3 linked regions of the Rattus norvegicus genome follow. The protein of the gene in region 1 interacts with the protein of each later gene in a pairwise test. Links are inferred from orthologs where the notes say so. Each region holds a gene or a part of one and is shown in the gene's direction. Other genes may lie near its edges.

The links.
Region 2: the proteins of Nab2 (region 1) and Nme7 interact in binary tests that used the Homo sapiens proteins (3 or more experiments, as listed by UniProt). The two-hybrid records come from large-scale screens. The link is inferred for Rattus norvegicus from reciprocal best matches to the Homo sapiens genes NAB2 and NME7.
Region 3: the proteins of Nab2 (region 1) and Rfc5 interact in binary tests that used the Homo sapiens proteins (3 or more experiments, as listed by UniProt). The link is inferred for Rattus norvegicus from reciprocal best matches to the Homo sapiens genes NAB2 and RFC5.

The regions. Positions count from the first base shown.
Region 1 is NC_086025.1:65,386,456-65,390,485, reverse strand, and holds the start of Nab2 (NGFI-A-binding protein 2), read left to right. Parts: upstream 1-1,230; 5' UTR 1,231-1,440; coding exon 1,441-1,523; intron 1,524-2,579; coding exon 2,580-3,453; intron 3,454-3,813; coding exon 3,814-3,947; intron 3,948-4,030. UniProt on the Homo sapiens protein: Acts as a transcriptional repressor for zinc finger transcription factors EGR1 and EGR2. Isoform 2 lacks repression ability.
Region 2 is NC_086031.1:79,224,958-79,228,470, forward strand, and holds part of Nme7 (nucleoside diphosphate kinase 7), read left to right. Parts: intron 1-1,643; coding exon 1,644-1,851; intron 1,852-3,513. UniProt on the Homo sapiens protein: Possesses an intrinsic kinase activity. Displays 3'-5' exonuclease activity with a preference for single-stranded DNA. Does not seem to have nucleoside diphosphate kinase activity.
Region 3 is NC_086030.1:44,867,166-44,871,130, forward strand, and holds the start of Rfc5 (replication factor C subunit 5), read left to right. Parts: upstream 1-1,156; 5' UTR 1,157-1,237; coding exon 1,238-1,296; intron 1,297-2,352; coding exon 2,353-2,417; intron 2,418-3,574; coding exon 3,575-3,711; intron 3,712-3,965. UniProt on the Homo sapiens protein: Subunit of the replication factor C (RFC) complex which acts during elongation of primed DNA templates by DNA polymerases delta and epsilon, and is necessary for ATP-dependent loading of proliferating cell nuclear antigen (PCNA) onto primed DNA.

The DNA.
Region 1 (4,030 bases):
CACACTACCCACGCCGTGCTGGGGCAAGCCACTCTCAAGTGCGGAGCAAAGGGGCGGAGCCGAGGTTTCTAACTAGAGGGACGTTTCCTCCCTCTGGCCAGTCCGCCACGCTTTCCACCCCCACCCTCTCTCCCCAAAGGCCTACACAACCCCCACGTGCCCAATACCCCCCCCAACCCTCCTAGCCGTGGGCGTGTAATGGGAACCAGATGGGGCTAGAAGAAACCGAGGGGGTTGGGCTCCTTGAAGGCGGTCCTCCGTGGTGGGCAGTCACGTAGACTACTCTTAGCCTCTTGCCAAGCTTCCACTACACTGTCCAGAGAGATCCAATAATTCATGACCTCAGAGAAGGCAGCCACCTTTTCCTGGCTTTGCCGTCCAATCCAAGCAGTAAGGCCTGACCATCAGAAAATAAAAAAGCATGGTAACCCCATCCCTGTCCTACCTACCAAACCCCGACGTGCCTAACCAACGCTCATGTAAGTAGTAGATTCTAGTATAACTTACGACCAGGGTTTCTGAGAGCCGCCTCTTCATATTACAACCTTTAGGCCAGAGAACGGTGTTGAAACACCGAAGGGATTCCTGCGCAGCCCCGCGCTAACAAGTTTACCCTAAGGGTACATCCTCCGGGAGCGGAGCAGGAGGAACCGAACACCCGGACCCCTCTCCAACTTTTTTCCCATCACTTCTAACATTCAAACTAACGGCATGGCGCGGCCAGAGTGCGGCCAACGGGCGTCCGCGTCGTTGTTTAGACGCGTGTGCACGTACGTGCGCGTGTCTTTGTATACTTGTGCGTGGTTGTGAAACTGCGCTCTCGGCTCACAGGAGTAGGAGTGGTGCAGGGAGTAGGAATGTAGCCGGCGGGGCGCTCACGTGGGTACGTGGGCGCAGAGAGGGCCGGCTGTGCATCCGGCGTGGGCGGCAAGGAGCGACCTGCCCCGCCCGTTGGGTCCCCAAGCTCCCCCCTCCATAGCTCGGCCTCGGTCACCTCAGTCCCCAACTCGGAGCCCGATTCTTGAGTCCCCGCCTCCGCCTCCTGCTCCACACCTTCCCCCCACCTTCCCCCAAGTCTCCTCCTCTCAGTCTCCGCAGCAGCCTCTCGGAGGCTCAGGCCTGGGCTCCCACCCACCGCCTCCGGTCCCAGCCCCCGGTTCTGCCCACGCCCTCCTCCCGCCAGCCCGGCAGCCAGCGCAGCGCGGGGCCTCGCTCCCTGTGCGTCCTGCGGGGGAGGAGGCGCGGAGAGGCGGCAAGCTCAGCCGGGGAGGTGGGGGCAGAGGCACAGACAGAGGCGCGGAGGCTCCGAGAGAGAAGACGTGGAGGGAGGGACGGAGCCAGGACAGCGGTGGACCCGGGCCGCGCGCGCTCCAGGCAAAGAGCAGCGCGCAGCAGGCGCCGGGCACCGAGACGGGAGGCACGGGTGATCTCTGGCCGTCCATGCACAGAGCGCCCTCTCCCACAGCGGAGCAGCCACCTGGCAGAGCGGATAACACCCGCCGGACCCCACAACCCAGAGTCAAGTTAGTGGGCAAAAGGAGGTGGCAGGGAGTGGAGATGGGTGGAGTTGGACTCCCGAATGGGGGTCTAGGGGGTGGGGGTCGAAAAGAGGACGTGGAGAATCGGGAGGTGGGAGGTGGAGACTGATAGAAAAGGGGGGGTGAGTATTCGAATTGGGGGATCCTGGGAGCAAACAAAGACCCAATGAGCCTGGTTACGATAGAGTACTGCCTCATTTTCCATTCCAGGTTTACTCAGTGGGCATAACCTGGTACGTGAGGCCCTACAAAGACTGTCCCCCAGCGCCAGGGAGAGCTCCAGAGCTTGATCTGTCAACAGTGAGGGGTGGGGGAGCTTAGCTGTCTTAGTGTGTCATTAGCCGGCAGCGCACCACCCCTAGGTCTGGGAGAAGGTGGTTCCTTTGAGTTAAGCATCTGTGGGCCTGAAGGGGGTGTGCTTCAGGCCTCCCTTGTCATGAAATGACCATTCACTGAATGAGGAGGGGTAGCCCCCGCATGCAGCCCCTTCCTCAAGAGGCCTTCAGTCTCTCTCGCACTCCCTTTTGAAGATAAGGATGGAAAACAAGGAGAAGAGAGTAGGCGGGAGCCCCCAGGCAGTTTTCGCCTACAGACGCTGCTCCTGTGGGAGTGTGTGGGAAGAACGGCCCCAGAGCAGAACAATCAAGGCTTCCCTCCCCCTTTCCCAGAAGAGAAGGACCAATCAAAGGAGAGGGGGTAACTGGAAGGGTACTGGGCAGCCTAGAAAGTTCGGACAGATTCTAGGAAGAGTGCTTTTAAACCCTGGAACCTAAGGACATGAGCAAGGGTCTACCAGGTTCCCTAAAGGCCAAGGAAGAGGCCACACCCCTCCCTCCCAGCTACCTGGGCAAGGAGTGAAGTGGCCAGCAGTAGCCCCTAGTATTCTAAGTTAACTTTAATATGGGATGTTTGTGCCACTGAGCAATGCTCCATTCTCAACCTTGGGCACTGGGCAGGAAAGAGGACAACTGTTAGTGTGGGTTGGTTGGTACCCAGCAGGACACTTGTACTCACCGCCTGTCTCCTGCCCTTCCTTCTCAGGGCAAGTGCCTCAACCATGGCACTGCCTCGAACACTGGGTGAGCTGCAGCTGTACCGGGTCCTGCAGCGTGCCAACCTTCTTTCTTACTACGAGACCTTCATCCAGCAGGGAGGGGATGATGTACAGCAGCTGTGTGAGGCGGGCGAGGAGGAGTTCCTGGAAATCATGGCACTTGTGGGCATGGCCACCAAACCACTCCATGTCCGACGTCTACAGAAGGCTCTGAGAGAATGGGCCACCAACCCAGGGCTCTTCAGCCAACCAGTGCCTGCTGTGCCTGTCTCCAGCATCCCACTTTTCAAGATCTCTGAGACAGCTGGTACCCGGAAAGGGAGCATGAGCAATGGGCATGGCAGCCCAGGAGAAAAGGCGGGCAGTGCTCGAAGCTTTAGCCCCAAGAGTCCCCTTGAACTTGGAGAGAAGCTATCACCACTTCCTGGAGGACCTGGTGCAGGGGATCCCCGGATCTGGCCAGGCCAGAGCACTCCAGAATCTGATGTTGGAGCAGGAGGAGAAGAGGAGGCCGGGTCTCCCCCTTTCTCCCCCCCTGCAGGGGGAGGAGTCCCTGAGGGGACTGGGGCTGGGGGGGTGGCTGCAGGTGGCACAGGGGGTGGTCCAGACCGCCTGGAACCAGAGATGGTGCGAATGGTGGTAGAGAGTGTGGAGAGGATCTTCCGGAGTTTCCCCAGGGGTGACACTGGAGAGATCACATCCCTGTTGAAGCTGAATAAGAAGCTGGCACGGAGTGTGGGGCACATCTTTGAGATGGATGATAACGACAGCCAGAAAGAAGAGGAGATCCGAAAATATAGCATCATCTATGGCCGCTTGGATTCCAAACGGCGTGAGGGCAAACAGCTTAGCTTGCACGAGGTGAGTACCTGGGTCTTCAGGACTGCCCTTCACTCCTGGGCTCAGTTCACTTGCCTCAGAATCCTCCACCTCTGTATCACTGTCCCCTTGACCACCCCAGTTCCTTCCACACACCCACACATACCCAACCCCAGCTGCTGCCTCACTTCCCTCAACCTAAGGGAAGAATAATGGCAACGAAACCCTGTGCTGCTCACATGCCAGGAACAGGAGGCCTTGGGAGGGACAGTCTCTAAGTTCAGGCAGTTAAGTCCTGGGTATTATTTAAAGCAGGCATTCTTTGGATGGGCCTCCCTTGGTGGTGAAGGGGAAAAGCAGTAGGAGAACCAAGAACTCACACTGATTGTCCTCTTGCCACAGTTGACCATCAATGAGGCTGCTGCCCAGTTCTGCATGAGGGACAACACCCTTTTACTTCGAAGGGTAGAACTTTTCTCACTGTCCCGCCAAGTAGCCCGAGAGAGCACCTATCTTTCTTCCTTGAAGGGATCCAGGTGAGACCCCCTTCCTTCCCCAAGGTTGGAATCCTGCCAAGGACTTGGCTCTCCCAACTTGCAACTCAGGCAGCTCCAGGCCT
Region 2 (3,513 bases), on another chromosome or scaffold:
AGTATTTTGGATGTAATTAAAGTGACTAATGTGCATACTCAGTGCCATTGACAAAGGAATGACAAATTTCTGGGGGGGTTGTGGGGTTTTTTTTTTTTTGTTTGTTTGTTTTGTTTTTGCTTGATCATTGTTCTGGTTTTTATTTTTAAATTATTTTTCTTGGATATTTTATGTATTTACATTTCTTTTTTTATTGGATTTTTTAATTTACATTTCAAATGTTATTCCCTTTCCTGGTTTCTCAGACATAAGTCCCCTCTTCCCATCTCCCTCCCCTTCTATAAGGATGTTCCTCTCCCCATCCACCCCCTCCCGGCACCCCCACCCAACATTCTCTTACATTGGGGGTCCAACCTTGGCAGGACCAAGGGCTTCTCAACAAATCTCTAATAAAGACAAATGAAGTTTTAGCCAACCTGGCGCGGTAGACATTTTATTTGATATCATACACAGAAGGATAACTTTTTTTTAAAAAAAAGAACATTTATATAATAAAATTACTGCTTTATGACTTAATCATACATTGTAAAATATTCCTAAACTTTGTTAGAATTATCATATACATTTTTTGGCGATTATTCTTTGTTTTAGAGTCTTTGTATGTCTTTATAACCCTAAGTCACAGCACCTGGTTTAATATCGTCTATATAATTCATATGCAGAAAGTTTCCAGGAATGAATTAGCTGGTTCTTTGGCACTGGTCATGATCAATATCTTGTCGGTAGCCCACCAGGCCTTCAGTTGTCACACACCACAGCCATTATTAAGTGACTGGAGGGATTGATGACGGGTTGAGAAGCTATATGCAGTGCAGTCGTAGTCATATGTGACTATGACAGGCGGGTAAGCCTGTATCCTGTCTTCCTTTCTCTGAGAAGGCCCTGTCAGTTCTGCCTCTGCTTAAGAAGGTAAGAGGCTGGGACACCACTTATTTCAAGTTAAACGTATTGTTGCATTGTGTGCACATGAAGAAATAGAAAGATTAGAAAGATAAAATGGAGTGTCATTTTTCATTCCCAGGGAGCTGGGACTCAGACATAAACTTCAATAAAAGCCTGTGTGTCTGGTCCATCACTTAGATACCATTACCCAGGGCAGGTTTTCGCCTAATACAGGCCTGGTTTTGAAAGCCTGTTGACATTCTCTTTCTTTATCACATTGATTTAGAGTGTCACTCTCTGCATTCCAGTACTTACACACTGCAAAATTAAATAAGTTGTTCTTGAGCATTACAAAATACCATGCTTGTCACTGTATTATTATAATACTCTACATGGCTGCTGCGTTGAGCCATTGGAAAACAGAATGGAATCACCTTTCTCCTTCTTAGAGTAGTGGGGAAGATCAGATCAATGGTCTGCATTTTAAGTCAGTGAAATCATCCGAATTCAACAAGTGTTCCCTCCCCTTGCAAACAGAAATGGCCTTGTCGTATTTCCTGTAACGATTTTGAGGCAGACTCAGTCACTGTAAGGCATCTGTTCATGCCGATTTCCCATATTCATACACTTCCCTGTGATCAGAAACAGATCACAACATGCTAGTCCTCGAACTTACTATGATGTCCTAACATACCTTCATTGTCAAGCAGATGCCTAGGTTGACAGCGTAGAGAAGTAACTGGCTTTTCCCTGCTCCCCAGCGAACTGATCCAGTTTATCACAAGTGGGCCTGTTATTGCCATGGAGATCTTGAGAGATGATGCCATATGTGAGTGGAAAAGGTTGCTTGGACCCGCAAACTCTGGGATAGCGCGTTCAGAAGCCCCCGGAAGCGTCCGAGCCCTCTTTGGGACAGATGGCATAAGAAATGCGGCTCACGGCTCTGATACTTTTGAGTCCGCTGCCAGAGTAAGTTGTTTTGAGAAATATTTTCCTTCTGCTTTGTTTGGGAAATTGTCTTGTGTCAAAGTAAAACATTTCTCCTGCAGAGGACTTTGGGAGGTTTGGAACAGCTAATGATGTAGCCTGGAAAACCTGGTGAAGTTTTCCTAGGCTCAGGTACCGTTTCCAAGCCACACCCCCTTTTAAAACGGTTGGTCACAGTTGTCCAGTGCAGTTTTCTCAAAGTCTGACATTTGCTACCACCCATCTTTCTGGAAAAGATTAATTTGCCGAGGCTCGTGTTTGTGACTTAATTAAATTAAGAGTACTAGTTTATGGATCTATAGTAGATACTCCAAACGAAGGTTTCATTTGAGTAGTCTGTAATTCAGATGAGGCAGTGGTGTGAACTAAGCTGGTGACTAGATCTGGAACATGCAGCTTACATGAAGAAGCTAGAACCCTAGGTCTTGTTCTCGCAAGGTAGCTCAGTGGGTAAAGGCGCTTGCGGCAAAGCCGGATGTTCTGCTGTGTTACCTGGGGCCCATGTGGTGGAAGCAGAGAAATTTATTCCCACAAGTTATTCTCTGACCTCTGCCCATGCACATACACATAGATAAACATAAAAATGTAATTAAAAATTCCAAAGCAAGAAAGGTTTCTTTAAAAAAGAAAGAAAAAAATCGAGGTTTTAACAAAAAAAAAAATAAGAATTATCCTGTGAGGAGCTTGGATGTGAGTATTGGTAACAGCTTGTTTGTGACAATCCATGTTACAATATCATAGGTGCCCAGGAGATGGCTGAATGGACAAGACACCGTGTAGCCATCTGTGGTACCTGATTTGTCAAAAAGAAAGGGAAAAGAAATTATTACAGCAAGGAAATCTCAGAATATTTTTGTTGAGTGAAAGAAACTAGAAAAAATAGCATATATTGTATAAGTCTATATAAAATTATAGAAATTAACTTACAGTGACAAAGCAGGTTAATAGTCAATAATAATAGTTAATTATTAATTTTTAAGCGTTCTGCCAACTGAATCACTCAAATATATACAGTGTTTGAGTAAATTCTCTTCCTCCCGCTTGCTTATGCTTTAAAGAATATTTACATATAAAAGTAGAAGGGAAACCATTAGAGAAGAGGATGGGATAGAGGGAAAAGGGAGAGTAACGTGGGATTGGTAAGATCACAGTGCGTGTGGACCTCTATGAAAATGTCCCCAGGAGGCCTATTTTCTATATAATTAATGTATTCTAATAAAATATAAAATGTATTAGTATAGCATATTAACATATCTGTTATTATCTTTGACTTTTTTAATTGTAAACTTGAATCACGGTCTCACTATGTAGCCATAGTTGGCCTGGGACTTGTTCTGTCGGCCAGGGGACTTACTAGCCTTTTGCCTCTGTCTCCAGAATGGCAGGTTTGATCTTTCAAGTATAAATTTAGTGAAAAGAAAATACTCAGAGTCAGGTTTTGTTCTAGGTGTTTGGAAGCCAGTAAGATCTGCAAATTGGTCCTTTTCTTCAAATGTATAATGTTACAGTAGGTGACAAGTCCTTGAATAGTCACAGCTGGGATGGATACATGGTGCTGGTGGGGGTGTCAGGGAGAGCTTTGTAGAGGTGAGCCCATTCAGAGAGTCCTTTGCTCCTGGCAGATGTTGGAGCAAGGAACAGGTT
Region 3 (3,965 bases), on another chromosome or scaffold:
TTCCAGAGGTCCTGAGTTCAATTCCCAGCAACCACATGGTGGCTTATAACCATCTTAATGGGAAGTGATGCCCTCTTCTGGTGTGTCTGAAGACAGCTACACTGTACTCAGATATATTTTTTTCTTTTTTCTTTTTCTTTTTTCTTTTTTTCGGAGCTGGGGACCAAACCCAGGGCCTTGCGCTTGCTAGGCAAGCGCTCTACCACTGAGCTAAATCCCCAACCCCTGTAGTCAGATATATTAAATAAATAAATCTTTAAAAAAAAAAAAGAGGAAAATAAAATTGGTCGCCAGGTAAGTGGAGCTCTCTTTTAATCCCAGCACTTGGGATGTAGAAGTGCAGGTGGATCTCTGAGTTTGAGGCTTGCCTGATCTACAGAGCGAGTTCCAGGGCAGCCAAAACTACAGAGAGAAACCCTGTCTCAAAAATAAATACATATAAATAAATAAATAAATAAATAAATAAATAAAAAATTGGTCTGTGATCCTCTCACTGTAGGAGAAAGTGTGTGTGTGTGTGTGTGTGTGTGTATAAAACAGAGATGTCTGTGTGTATATTTATGAATGTGTTATATGTATACATGTATGTGTCTATATGTAACTGTGTGTACTTATGTGTATATGTCTGAATATGTTCTGTGTGTAGATATGTATTATACATGTGTATGATGTGAGTATATATGTATGCGTGTGTATGTGTGCATATCAACTGTGTATTTGTGTATACATATGTGTATATGTGTGAGTGCAAACGTATATGTTTGTATGTAAGTGTGTGAGTGTCCGCGAATGGGAATGTATGTAGATGTATATCTGTATATGTAACTGTGTGTGTGACTGTGTGTGCGTGTTGCTGGTTATGGAACCAAGGGTGCGCTGACCACACCCCAGCCTCAGAAGTGTTTCTGGCTCCGGAACTCGCTGCCCCTTTGCGGCTTGCCCCTTGCGCTGGCAGGATCCGGTCCTGGTGAGGCCTGTGGTAAGTCTAGCTGTAGTGTGCTGCGTCTCTAGTCTTCCTGAAAGCCTAAGACTGCCGGCTCAGGCCCTAACCTGGCTGCAGGCCCGCGACTCCGGTTACCTAGCAACCAGCACCTTAGCAACCGGGAGGAGGCGGGGCTGGGGCCGGAAGCCGGAAGCCGGAAGCCGGAAGCCGGAGGCGAAGACTCGCGAGGGTTGGTTTGCGCGCGGACTCCGAGTCCAGTGGTTCGGTGGCCGGTCCCTGCAGCATCTGTCAGTCATGGCGGCGGCGCCTTCGCAGCAGCAGCCCCGGGCGGCCCGGGCCCGGAACCTGCCCTGGTAGGAGCGGCCCCGCATCCTGCTTCCCTCCCTTCTTCCTAGGAGCTTTGCATGTCCCCCTCCCGCTCCCGGCCGGATACCTAGCCTTTGCGCCGCAAGCCGCCCCTCCGCTTCCAAACCGAACTGTCTGTGATCTTATGCCTGAGTTCAGCTCAGCCATCCTCAAGTGCCTCGAGCATCGCCATTGCGCTCTGATGACCCTAACAGATGGATCCTGGGTTTCTTTAGAATGGTTCAGAGACCGGAGGAGTGGGTAGGCTAGGATTCGAACTCGTGTTCGAATTCAGCGCTTGCATTCTCTCCCTCTTATTTGCGGGGGAAGGGACCGTAGCAGCGCACCTTTGTGGCGGTGAGGATAACTTGCAGGACCCAGTTCTTTCCTTTTACTGGCATGGATTCCCGGGATCCACTCCAAGGCCCCAGAGTTTGCATACTGATAGACCTTACAGCAGTTTAGCGGTGTTTTAAACAAAGCCTGCCCAGCCATGCTTTCTTTTCAGTTTTTCTGGTCTCTACTGAGGAGGAAGAATTGCCTTGGATCACACGTTAAATTCTCAGGAGTGGAGTTACAGACGGTGTGGTCTTTTGAGTGTGACTTCTGGAACTCAGGGTTGTTCTTTTCGGTAGCATGGTTCAGCACTCAGTTCCCGCTTGAAAGCCAAATCCCAAGTGTATTGCCCTTCACTTGCTTGTGGGTATTTGAGTATGAGTCGATGCCTAACTGAAGCTGTGCAGTCTCAGCGCTGTTGTCTTGGGGGCGGGGGCACTGTTGGTGTGGAGCAACAGGGAGCTGTCTTGCCCACTGGAGGATGTTCAGCAACCTCCTGACCTCTCCTCAAAAGAGGCCACTAAGACCCTCTGCAGTTATTACAGCTAACCGGCCTGACAGATGTCTCGTGGTAACTGAACAGCTCTTGGTTGTGAGTGCCACTGACTCTGTTCAGACGTGAAGGGTTTCTCTTCCTCTGCTGCTAGGACGTGAAGGGCTTCTTTGCATGTAACAGAACCCATGACTCTTGGCGTATAAACTGTAACGCATGGTGAATCCTTTTTCAGGGTTGAGAAGTACCGGCCACAGACTCTGGCCGATCTCATATCTCACCAGGACATCCTGAGTACCAGTGAGTACCTGTGTCTGCTGCTGTTGTTGTCCTGGCGGGAGGGTTTGGGTCCATTTCGTGAAGACGCTGTCCCTGCTGGATGACACTTAAGGATGGACTGTGCTTTATAGAATGGGCTGTGTGTTTCCTTCTCCATAGTGCACCAAAATATCTAAGAGGACACATTTTTAAAGATTGGTTTGTTTGTTTTGGTTTTTTTTTTTTTTTTTTTTGGTTCTTTTTTTCGGAGCTGGGGACCGAACCCAGGGCCTTGCGCTTCCTAGGCAAGCGCTCTACCACTGAGCTAAATCCCCAACCCCGATTGGTTTGTTTTTATTGTAAGTGTGTGCTCCATGTGTGCCTGGTTTCTTCAGAGGCCAGGTGAGGGCCCAGGATCCTCTGGAACTGGAGTTGTAGGCTATTGTGAGCTGCCCTGTAGGTGCTAGGAACCAAAACCAGGTCCTCTGCAAGAGCACCCGGCTTAGCTGAGGCACCTTGTCAACTCCCCCATCCCCAAGACGACAACAGAGAGGAGAGATGACTGACTTTGCCTTATGGGTTCAGAGGTTCTGGTCCACCGTGCTTGGCTCTGTTGACTCTAGACCCTTGGTGAGCACAACTTCATGGCAGTGGGGGCATTCTGCTCCATAGTAGACAGGAAGTAGAGAGCTAAGCGGGGGTAGGGGTGAAGGTGGGGAATGGAGGTCAGTATGAACCTCAAACGCATGTGTTTGGTGGCCTGATTCCTCCAATGAGGCTGTGCCTCTAAACCAGTGATTCTCAACCTTCCTAAAGATGTGACCCTTTTAATGCAGTTCCTTGTGTTGTGGTGACTCCCCAACCATAAAATTATTTCATTGCTACTTAATAAATGGAATTCTGCTATTTACTGTTATAAATTGTAAATGTTTGATATGCAGGATATGTGTGTGATATGTAGCTCCTAAAAGGGTCAAGACTCACAGGTTGAGAACCATTGCTCTCAACTTTCTAGACCCTCCTGAGATAGAGAGACAGACAGACAAACCGTGGTCTGACTCCAGGACATTCCCTCCCTGTCTGCTCTGACTGGGTCACTGAAGAACTGAAGCACGTCTGGATGTAGCTTAAACAGGTGCTAAGGTGAGCATGCAGGACCCAGAGACTGACGTGTGTCATTGCTTCTTCCTGTCCTGCAGTTCAGAAGTTCATCAGTGAAGACCGCTTGCCACACCTACTTCTCTATGGCCCTCCAGGCACAGGAAAGACATCCACCATTCTGGCCTGTGCCAAGCAACTGTACAAAGATAAAGAATTCGGCTCCATGGTCTTGGAGGTGAGGAGACACTCTCACTCCACAAAAGCTCAGACCTTCGGACACTCACCTTTGGTCCTTTTTCACTCCCTGACCTGGTTGGGTTTGGCGAGTGGGATCTTGTGTGTGTGTGTGTGTGTGTGTGTGTGTGTTGGGGATGGGAGAGGGTGGTTTGGGGGGTGTCAATCGACACCAGCCCCAGGGGTCAAGACCCACAGGTTGAGAACCACTGCTCTACAAACACCTTTAAAAATGTCTCTTCATCTGGATCTTCT